Bombyx mori: one gene and its partners. Each later gene encodes a partner of the first gene's protein in a complex. Links are inferred from orthologs where the notes say so. Each region holds a gene or a part of one and is shown in the gene's direction. Other genes may lie near its edges. The genes, in order: actin-related protein 3, actin-related protein 2/3 complex subunit 2 and actin related protein 2/3 complex subunit 4.

Region 1 (3,544 bases):
ACAAAAACAGTGTAGACACATTGGTATGTTTTTTTTATTGCCCTTGTAGGCAGACGAGCATACGGCCCACCTAATGGTTAGTGGTTACCGTCGCTCATGGACTTCAGCAATGCCAGGGGCAGAGCCAAGCCGCTGCCAACCATTGCGTACTCTCCGCAAGCCTCGTTTGAAGAAGGACAAGTTATAGCGCTCGGGAAACACCGTGGAGGAGAACTCATTCGAAAGCCGGATGGGACGTGGCAAAAAAGATTTCTCGTTTTTTTTTATTGCTTAGAGGGTGGACGAGCTCACAGTCCACCTGGTGTTAAGTGGTTACGGGAGCCCATAGACATCTACAACGTAAATGCGTCACCCACCTTGAGATATAAGTTCTAAGGTCTCAAGTACCTATAGTTACAACGGCTGCCCTATCCTTCAAACCGAAACGCATTACTGCTTCACGGTAGAAATAGGCAGGGTGGTGGTACCTACCCGCGCGGACTCAAGAGGTCCTACCAACAGTAATTACGCAAATTATAATTTTGCGGGTTTGATTTTTATTACACGATGTTATTCCTTCACCGTGGAAGTCAATCGTGAACATTTGTTGAGTACGTATTTCATTCGAAAAATTGGTACCCCCGCCTGCGGGATTCGGTGATGGAATCATCTCAAACAATTCCTCAGATTATTAATTAATAACATTATTCTATTAGAAATTAGCAGTATTTTTTTGGTATATTTAATTTTATAATTAAGTACCATTTAAGTGTTTCTAGAATCATAGCTTATTGACAGTGCGTTTCCAGAAATTTCTTTTTCAATCCAATATCCGACTTTGAAATGAAATTCCCTCCGCAACTTTTCTTGAGCATTGTGACATATCTTTCTTCCAAGTAAGTTTATAGCGAATGCTACTACTAAAAACTAAATAATAACAATAAGAATGCATTAAATGAACTTCTTTTTGTTTTTAGGTATCTAACTCAAAAGTTTCAAGTCCTTATTAAATTAAATTAAAATGGTATCAGGCTTTTCAGACTAAACCTTGAATTGTGATTGTATAGAAACTCTTTTTTTATTAGTGAAAGTGTACAGGAGTGGCGGATTGAAACAAAATCACCGGACGTCGCTTGGTGCTTTGTCAGATTCTTCCATAATGTCCAAATAAATCTCAGTTTTTTTTGGATTTTACTAGGAGGTGATTTGAATAAAACATTTATTTGGGGAAGGATTGTTTAGGTTATGTTTCCTTAATCTATTCATTAAATAAAAAAATTGAGACGTCAATTTAGTCTGCTGACATTTCATGACTGTCATACATAAGGCAAAACTGACTAATTCGTAGATATTTGACTGATTTTGCCTATCTTACTTACCGCACCCTATTTATTATTTTATATCTATATAGTTGAATAATAAACTTTAAATAATAAAAATGGGAGACCATTTACCAGCTTGTGTTATCGATGTCGGCACCGGGTATACTAAACTGGGTTTTGCCGGTAACAAGGAACCACAGTTTATTATTCCATCAACCATAGCGATAAAAGAAACTGCAAAAGTTGGCGATCAGAGTACTCGGAGGATGACTAAGGCTGTCGAAGATTTGGATTTTTTCATCGGTGATGAAGCTTTTGAAGCCACAGGATACTCTGTAAAGTATCCTGTGCGCCACGGTATCGTAGAAGACTGGGATTTAATGGAAAGGTACATCGAACAGTGCGTGTTTAAGTATCTCCGTGCGGAACCCGAAGATCATCATTTCTTAATGACCGAGCCTCCGCTCAACACTCCAGAAAACAGAGAATATTTAGCCGAAATCATGTTTGAGTCATTTAATGTGCCAGGCCTTTACATTGCTGTACAAGCCGTTCTTGCTTTGGCTGCGTCATGGAAGTCACGTACGTCTGCTGAACGCACCTTCACTGGCATCGTAGTAGACAGCGGAGATGGCGTTACTCACATTGTTCCAGTTGCAGAAGGATATGTTATTGGATCATGTATAAAACACATCCCTATTGCTGGTAGAAACATTACTTCATTTATTCAATCATTACTCCGTGAAAGAGAGGTTGGAATCCCTCCTGAGCAAAGTTTGGAAACTGCCAAAGCTATTAAAGAAAAATACAGTTATATCTGTCCTGACATTGCTAAAGAATTTGCAAAATACGATAGCGATCCTGGTAAATGGATGAAAAAGTACACAGGGATCAATGCTATCACTAAAAACCCATTTACAGTCGATGTTGGCTACGAGCGATTCTTAGGACCTGAGATTTTCTTCCATCCTGAATTTTCAAATGCTGATTTCACTGTACCTTTGAATGAGATGGTTGATGAAGTGATTCAGTCATGCCCCATTGATGTTAGACGAGGATTGTATGGAAACATTGTGTTGTCTGGTGGCTCGACTATGTTCCGTGACTTTGGCAGAAGGTTACAACGTGATATCAAGAGGGCTGTTGATGCAAGATTGAAGCTTTCGACTATGTTATCTGAAGGTCGGATTACCCCTAAACCGATTGATGTACAAGTTGTGTCTCATAACATGCAGAGATATGCTGTGTGGTTCGGAGGCAGTATGCTTGCATCAACACCAGAGTTCTACCAAGTCTGCCATACTAAACAGGCATACATGGAGTATGGTCCTAGTATTTGCAGACACAACCCTGTTTTTGGTACCATGACATAAACAACCTTCCAGTATTAAATTACTAATGATGTCTACTTAGACTGTCGTATAAAATAATGAATTTGTAGAAGAAAATAATTATGTATAATATGAATATTGTTTTAATAATGACATAGATGCACACAATCCTCTCTTAAAACTTTTAATTTAGATTTATATTTTTATTATTATCAAACATGTCATAAATATATGGAATGTGTATTTTAATATATATACTTACAGAATATACTTTATGTAGCTGGATTTAAAATGTACAATATTAAGCATTTAACATTTGCATTCCAGCCTTTTATTGAAAAATAAATTCTTGTAAATTATATTATTAGTTTTATTAACCTTTATATGCATAAATTTGCAATTGCAAAAGTCGTACTTAACCTTTGGCAGTAATTTGGTGTGGTAATCGAAGTAAAATGTTTAATTTATAGACATAGGTAAACTAGTATCTTTGGAGGCTGAACATTTAAAATAAAAGTAAAGTATTGACAATTGTCCATAACGAGTCATTACCATAATTAAATTTGCAGGGATAAATTCCTCTTATACCAATTTTGATGCCACCATAGGCCCCATTATATTCCCTATGTTTGGCCAGTGCAGTGTCAAATCCCTAATTGTTAAAGATCACTAAACTTATGTATTTTCTTATAGAAAACATTATTAAATATTAGGATGTCTCTTATTTGAGAATGTATCTGATTATAGAAATCTTACGAAAACGAGGACTGCATAAATTAAGGATAGTTTTTGTTGCTGTAGATGGCTAGATGAACTCAAGCTGTTAAGGGATCAGTGTGCTTAGTGCGAGTTTTTTAACGATCTCGATAGCGTAAAAGTTAGCTCATATTTGTATGGAATGGGATCGTTTGC
Region 2 (4,249 bases), on another chromosome or scaffold:
AAGCAAATTGTAATTAGGTATAATTGTCACAAAAATAAATCTGACACAACAATCACTATCCAAAGTATTGCTAAAATAAGCAACCTAAGAAATTAAATGAACCAAATAAAGAAGCACCAGGTGACGATGTTAGAAAACAAACCAAAACAAACGGTATTACTGACCATAGATTATTTTTTTGGTACAACTTTTCCTTATTAGGAAAGGCAAGGGAATCTAAGCCCAGCCTTGTCTGTTCTATTGACCATAGATAATATACCTATCCATAGATTATACACTTAGTATATTTGAGATAACTACCTACAGATACGAAAGAACGAAAAATAGTTGACAAGACAGCAGCCAGAATCATGGAGTTAATAAGTAGAATACAGTAGAATATGGCCAGAATACATATTTTTTCTTTGATTCGTTCAATGAATGGGCAAAGGGAAAATAACTCATACAAGTCAAGTAGTGTGTTTGGATAATTTTTTATTTTTTTTTAACCTTGCCTATGCTGATAGTCTTGAGAGGCTATTTCAGCTTCGCCCTAACGTTTGTAGGCGAGCTCGCGGGGCTCAACCGGAGAGTTGCTAGCACTGACCCTAGCAAGAGCAGTGCTTCGCAGAATCTACCACCGGATCGGAAACGCGACCCACTGAGAAGATCCGGCGAGAAACTCAGTGGGCTTGGAAAAATTAGTAATTTGAATAATTAACATTTTACCAAAAGCCGAATGGTGCTAAAGGAAAATATACTCTTTGATGTAAAATCTTAATGAAATGAAAGGAATCAGGTGAAATGAAATGCTGTCCACAACCTCTCAGTATAATGATAATTCTTTTTGAGAGTTCAATAGACTTCTTTTTTAAGAAGGAAGGATTACTTGCGGCCAGTTACCTTTTTAGTTTCACCAAAAGATCTGAGTGAGTACGGACTCAGCCAGGAAGAGTGGAGTTTGTTACCAGCTGCCCGAGCAGCAGTAATTCGCTGAATCTACCACTAAATCAGAAGTGCCACACACTGAGAAGATCCAGCAAGAAACTCAATGGGGCTAAAGGAGATAAAAAGTATGTTGCTGAATCTTGATAACTTCACTCTGCTTTTAGGCGTAGTTTTCAGTTAAGACAAAAAAGACCCATATTCTGGTTTTTGACATAACCGACGTAAAGGTTAAGTTTTTACCACACAAGCACACTTTTTTTTATGATGTTTAATATTTTTCTCAAACAATTCATCAAAAAATAATAAAATATAGGAAAAAGTAGTAACAAAAGGACTGCAATAATTTACGAGTTCAAAAAAATCAATGACATGTCATTATATTCCTAAGAATTTAGGCTGATGTAAGCTTCGCTTGCATCGTGAATTTTTTATTAAAAATTGTTTATATGTATGTATATTGTCTTCATTTTGTAGATAATTGTCATTTTAGTTTCCACTAAAATCTAAGAACTTTTTAAGCTCTCGTTCATATATTCAATTTACACTCTATGGTTGCTTGTCGAATTTCATTAAATTTTTTCGTTTCTTTTCTCTGTCGTTTTTGGTTGTCTATACGCACGGGCGGTCATCGTAAAAATTCTTACTTAAAAAAATTAAATGAAGGTGCTCTAGGCGTTGATTTTATGAAATATCTGTAGGTTATAAATTGTTGAATAATGATCTTACTCGAGATCAATAATAGAATTATAGAAGAAACACTAACGGTTAAATATAAAAATGCACTGGCGCGGTGAGTACGTTACACTAGAAAGTTACTGTTTTTTTCGTGATTAGAATCAATTTATCGAGTACACTGTTTACGGTAGTTATTTAAATTTTAATAGTCATTATGATGATGACTCCTATAAAGATTGTATCCTGGGCATAACCCCTCCAGGGGAGGACTTGACAAGTGTCAAGATTCACTGGGGGTGGTCCCACGTTGACGGCTGGAGTACAAATACCAAGTGAATTGTGCACTTAGTGTCAGAGAACAGGTATTATTGGAATTAAATTCTAATGTGTCACGGTCACAGTGACGCGTTAGTGCCTATCACGACTTGGATGAGTCATATCGGTTGTTTATAAGTGCCACATATTTTTGTCTGCGGAAATATCCCATATAAAGGCTTAGAATTCCAATGACCATATTGCCCGTAAACAATGCACCGAAACTGATACCAAATGTCGCTACTAAGAGGATATGACTAATTTATTCAATAAATAAGTGTTTATTTTTATCCCCTTCTGTTTTCAGCTTAAAGCCTGAGTCAATAGATGTTACTGTAGCTGATTTTGATGGAGTATTATTCCATATATCCAATGTCAATGGAGACAAAACCAAAGTTAGGGTATGTATGACTTGATAAGTGATAGTTAAATCAAAGAAACTCAATACAATGATGTCATATTAACTAGTAATGTGTAGTTTTATGTTTAAAATTGTTTTGTTATTGGTTTGAATAAAAATGTCAATAAAACATATAAACACAAAACATAAATCTAGCAATTAAAAATGTAAAAATCAGTAGCTGAATGAGGTGAGAAAATAGGTTTGTTATTTGAAAAATTTGGAAAAACACCTGGAGGAAATGTTGCTAAACCTAAAAAAAATTCTATGAAGAATAAATAGAATTATGTTTAAAATTAAATATCAACAGACCTTCAAGCTTAGACTCATAAAATGTACATAATTACAAAAATATTATTTTAGGTTAGTATATCTTTGAAGTTCTACAAGCAATTAGAAGAACATGGAGCAGATGAGCTCCTCAAGAGGGTGTATGGACCCCTTCTTACTGAACCAGAGTCAGGTAATTACACAAAGATATTTAAATTTTGTTTTTTTCCTTATAATGGAAGAGATGTGGAGAATATATATATTTTTTATTGCCCTTGTAGGCAAACCAGCTTACGGCCGACCTAATGGTGAGTGGTTACCGTTGCCCATGGACTTCAGCAATGCCAGGGGCAGAGCCAAGTTGCTGCCTACTACTTAATTCTCCCACAAGCCTCGTTTGAAGGAGGACATGTCATAAAGTTCGGGAAACACGTTGATATTATGGTTTATCTGATGGTATCAGTTACTAAGAGTTCAAACTTATCACAACATGAATGATGTGCCCTGCCTTGAGGTATAGTCTAAATCTAAATTATATTAAAATAATGGGTATCCTATCCATGAAACAGAAACGCATAATAGCAACAGCAATGGGATGAAAAGCAATACTAACCTGTAAGGGTAGAGGTTTTTATATCACCAGTACTCTCAATGGGGGAGATTAAATAAGGGGACAGTTAATTAAGAATTTAGCTGAAGATTCTACCACTACAGATTGATGCTGAAGAAGTATTGGAAGTATTGTTTATTAATATATATTTATACACAACTGGATAATCTATTAGCAGTTTTGTTTATGCTGTGGTTGAAATTTTACTAAAATTACTGAAACCTCAGTGTTATTTTGTTTTTTTAAATATTTATTTTCTTTGTTTATTGAAATTTAGAGAAAAACAATTGATAATTTCTAAATTATGTTGATAAGGTTAATATTATTTTGTTGCACCTACCACTATTTTCTCGGCACTACCTTTGGTTGTCTGGTAGAGAATGCCTTAGGCATTAAGTCTCCCATTGTAAATTTTACATGAAGTGTAATAAATAAGTAAATTATTCAGTCTATCGCCAATTAAAAAAAACAGATTGACAACCAGAGATGACAAAGGTACTGAATTCCTTATTTATATTTAGATTATATAACATCACTTGGACTTATTCTACCTTATTTTCCTTAATTTGATATGTACTCATTAGTTGTTTTTGAAGGCCTAGCTGGCATTTAAAGTAAATTAATTTGTATTACATTAAAAACAGGAAATATGTATTTTATCTAAATTTATAGGAGAACATTTTTACAAGTATTTATTTGAATGAATCACATTACTGAAAAGGTGTTTTGAGTCTCCATACATTGGTAACTGTTATGCCTATTTCTACTGAAAAATATCTGGGATCTACCAAGATTTCTAGGCTTCAAGTACACGGTACAAATTCCTGTATGCATTTATGTTGTAATGTATAGGCTCCAATAATTACTTAACATTATGGAGCCGTGTATTATTCTTGTCATCTAGACCTTTATCTGCAACCTTGTCAACCAAAAGAGCCAAATATAGTATTATTGTATAGCATTTTGTTTTAAATATGTTTACTGAGCCAGATAATAAGTAATATTCCGTGCCTAGACTAAACATTTCGCGGAATAGCTATAGTCAAAGAGTC
Region 3 (3,015 bases), on another chromosome or scaffold:
GAGCCAAGTTATGTCTAAAGAGAATTCAAAACAGAGTTTCTCAATGTCTAATCGTCTAATATTCTCATAAAGCTAAAAGTTGCTCTAAATTAATACTACAACGTAAAATAACTCACACCAAGACCAAAAAAAAACGATTTAAAAAATTAAATCGTTACGACATTTTGAAAACTTTTTTTTTTTTTGAGATTGTTTTACGGCCCTGGAATTTTGAAAACTTCAAAGCAGTGTTTCCACTTACGTTTTTTTTAACACATTTTACCCTAGTTTCTTTTGAATTTACCCTAAAATTTCCTAGACAACTTTCATAAATCCTTTATATAGAAAGCGTAAATAAAATACAGAAAATAAACCACAGCATATTATTTAATGTAGGTATATATAATATAAACGCCCCCAGAAGATCATAGATCTATAGGATTAGAATTTTCAAGGAAGTCGACGCATTGCTTTTATATTCTTTTGCTGCACAACCTAACACTGTTCGGTTCTAAAATTGAGCAATTGTTTGCTGGCAAAGTTGGGAACTTTCTATGAAGCAAGCCGTTCAGGGTTTCATTAGAAAGCCTGTTTCTTTTGTCAGTTTTTAAATTTGAGAACACTGAATAATCTTTCCACCTCAGTCTTTGAAGAAGGAACTGCTAGCAAAAGTGAAATGACAATTACAAGGTTTCGTAAATGAAATTACCATGATAATCTTTCATGGTACATGAAGTACCTGTATATTACAATACAAGTAAGTTCTGGTGACATCAACGAAAATAGGTAAATAAAAATTTGGCGGATTATACTTATTGGGATTCTGGGGAATCCCTAAGAAAAAGCAGTGGCTTAATCTATGATTTACTTTACTAGAAGGTTACTGTTGAATCAAACCTTTATAGTTTTTATACACAACTCTGTTTTATTCTTTTACTTGTCAACTCGACTTAATGTCATTCTCTCTCCATAAAATAAAATGTTCATTGTTTTACTTTAATTATCGTTTATTTTAAAATTCACAACAGTTACTAGTATAGGCTTTGCTTTTTACCCCGAAATATCCTAAATCCTGGTATTTTTTAAATTGTCTTTATCATCCAAAATATCAGCTATTTTTCCCTAAAAAAGGGAGAATTCCCTAAAAGTGGAAGCACTGCTTCAAAGTACGCTACATTTTTTATTGAGTCAGAACTCATATATGCCATCTAGTGAGTTTATTAGATCATTAATGCCTAAAAGTTACAAAAATGACGTCGCCACAGGAGTAAGATGACGCTAGTTGTATGTTATTTTCCTTTGTATGGGAGTTGCACCCCCCTGCATTTAAGAGATTTTAGTAAATTCTCTCCACTTTACTGAGATGTTATTTCATTATTTCTCATCCAATACCTACAATTTTACCTTATCTTACCTCAGATTCAATTCCTTAATAATCATTTAATTTTATTTAGTACATTTTCACACAACAACACACTTGGATTTGACTGTATGGCCTACCTTACCTTTGGCTATGTAATGAACGAATCAAACAATGATGCTTATGTCAAATCTGTCATCAATGGTGATAATTCATGACTAAAAAATTGAAAGGAACTTAAGGTGTGGCGTGATCTTTGCGAAAGTTTAATTTTCTACAATGGCTGCAACTTTAAAACCGTATCTAACAGCGGTGCGTCACACGCTCACTGCCGCTATGTGCTTAGAACACTTTTCATCGCAAGTTGTCGAGAAATACACCAAGCCGGAGGTCGAAGTTAGAACAAGCAAAGAACTTTTACTCAATCCTGTTGTTATTTCAAGAAATTCTAATGAAAAAGTATTAATAGAGTCTTCAATAAATTCAATTAGGGTGAGTATTATGATCAAGCAGGCGGATGAGATAGAGAAAATTCTTTGTAAAAAATTTATGCGGTTCATGATGATGAGAGCTGAAAACTTCATTGTATTAAGGAGGAAACCAGTTGATGGGTACCATATCAGCTTTTTGATTACTAACTTCCATACCGAACAGATGTATAAGCATAAATTGGTCGATTTTGTAATATACTTTATGGAAGAAATTGATAAAGAAATCAGTGAAATGAAATTGGCTGTCAATGCAAGAGCCAGAATTTGTTCGGAAGAATTCTTGAAGAGATTTTAACTACTTCTTTCAGTGATAGAATGAAACATCTTTATTGTACATAGAGTATGAATTCATGTGAAAAATTTGTTGCTTTGATGGCTATGTAATTTTAATTAGTGATGGAATTCATATAACCTTCATAGACAAATAAATTGTATCATTACAAAAATGACATTTAAATATGTAATTGTAGAAGAAACTAGATTTTTTCTGAACTTATTCTTTGATAGCCTAAAGGCCTATTCCAGGTAAGCACAGATGGGTAGGTGCTTACAGGCTACAATTGAACTATTAAAAATATTACGTTATTTAGATAGAGGTCAGGGAAAATACATTGCATACAGATATAAAATTTAATGCAGGTCACTGGTGCCCTAAGCGGCGCACTGAAATAATTACGTTGATTTCTGTTACTACACGCCTGGATTACCTAACTTTGCCTTCTTTTGTTTGTTAATGTATATTTTAGACTTTTAGGTCTTCTAAAAGATAGATTTATTCTTAGTACCTGTGAATTAGTCATTTCCAGACTCTACTAGATATTCCGGCACTTTAATATGTAGATCAAAGAGAAAAATCGTCATTATTACGTCAGTGTGCCGCGTAGGGCACCGGTGATTTACATGGCAGTCAACATGTTAATAATTATTGGGGCTTTGTTGACATATTCTATTGTGCTATGTGCTGAGTGTCCTATCTATGACTATTATTATACTACTGGGAGCCCTTTAAGTTCTTTAGTGTAATACCTTTTGACAAAGACAGCATGTTGATTTTGCTCCTTGAATTGTCAATGTCCACATTCCACCATAGACTGTTTGTCGATAGCATGATTGTCTGCTTTCATGGGTAAAAACAATTATTGTAATTTGATATTTGTAAAAAGTAAAAATAGCGTGAATGTTTCT

Evidence for each region.
Region 2: actin-related protein 3 (region 1) and actin-related protein 2/3 complex subunit 2 share a complex: the UniProt entries of both Caenorhabditis elegans proteins name them as parts of the arp2/3 complex. The link is inferred for Bombyx mori from reciprocal best matches to the Caenorhabditis elegans genes arx-1 and arx-4.
Region 3: actin-related protein 3 (region 1) and actin related protein 2/3 complex subunit 4 share a complex: the UniProt entries of both Caenorhabditis elegans proteins name them as parts of the arp2/3 complex. The link is inferred for Bombyx mori from reciprocal best matches to the Caenorhabditis elegans genes arx-1 and arx-6.

Annotation. Positions count from the first base shown.
Region 1 is NC_085125.1:6,590,196-6,593,739, reverse strand, and holds actin-related protein 3, read left to right. Parts: upstream 1-1,268; 5' UTR 1,269-1,417; coding exon 1,418-2,674; 3' UTR 2,675-2,991; downstream 2,992-3,544. UniProt on the Caenorhabditis elegans protein: Functions as ATP-binding component of the Arp2/3 complex which is involved in regulation of actin polymerization and together with an activating nucleation-promoting factor (NPF) mediates the formation of branched actin networks.
Region 2 is NC_085109.1:10,839,394-10,843,642, forward strand, and holds the start of actin-related protein 2/3 complex subunit 2, read left to right. Parts: upstream 1-1,325; 5' UTR 1,326-1,643; coding exon 1,644-1,717; intron 1,718-2,224; coding exon 2,225-2,318; intron 2,319-2,680; coding exon 2,681-2,780; intron 2,781-4,249. UniProt on the Caenorhabditis elegans protein: Functions as actin-binding component of the Arp2/3 complex which is involved in regulation of actin polymerization and together with an activating nucleation-promoting factor (NPF) mediates the formation of branched actin networks.
Region 3 is NC_085122.1:8,792,758-8,795,772, reverse strand, and holds actin related protein 2/3 complex subunit 4, read left to right. Parts: upstream 1-1,550; 5' UTR 1,551-1,618; coding exon 1,619-2,125; 3' UTR 2,126-2,404; downstream 2,405-3,015. UniProt on the Caenorhabditis elegans protein: Functions as actin-binding component of the Arp2/3 complex which is involved in regulation of actin polymerization and together with an activating nucleation-promoting factor (NPF) mediates the formation of branched actin networks.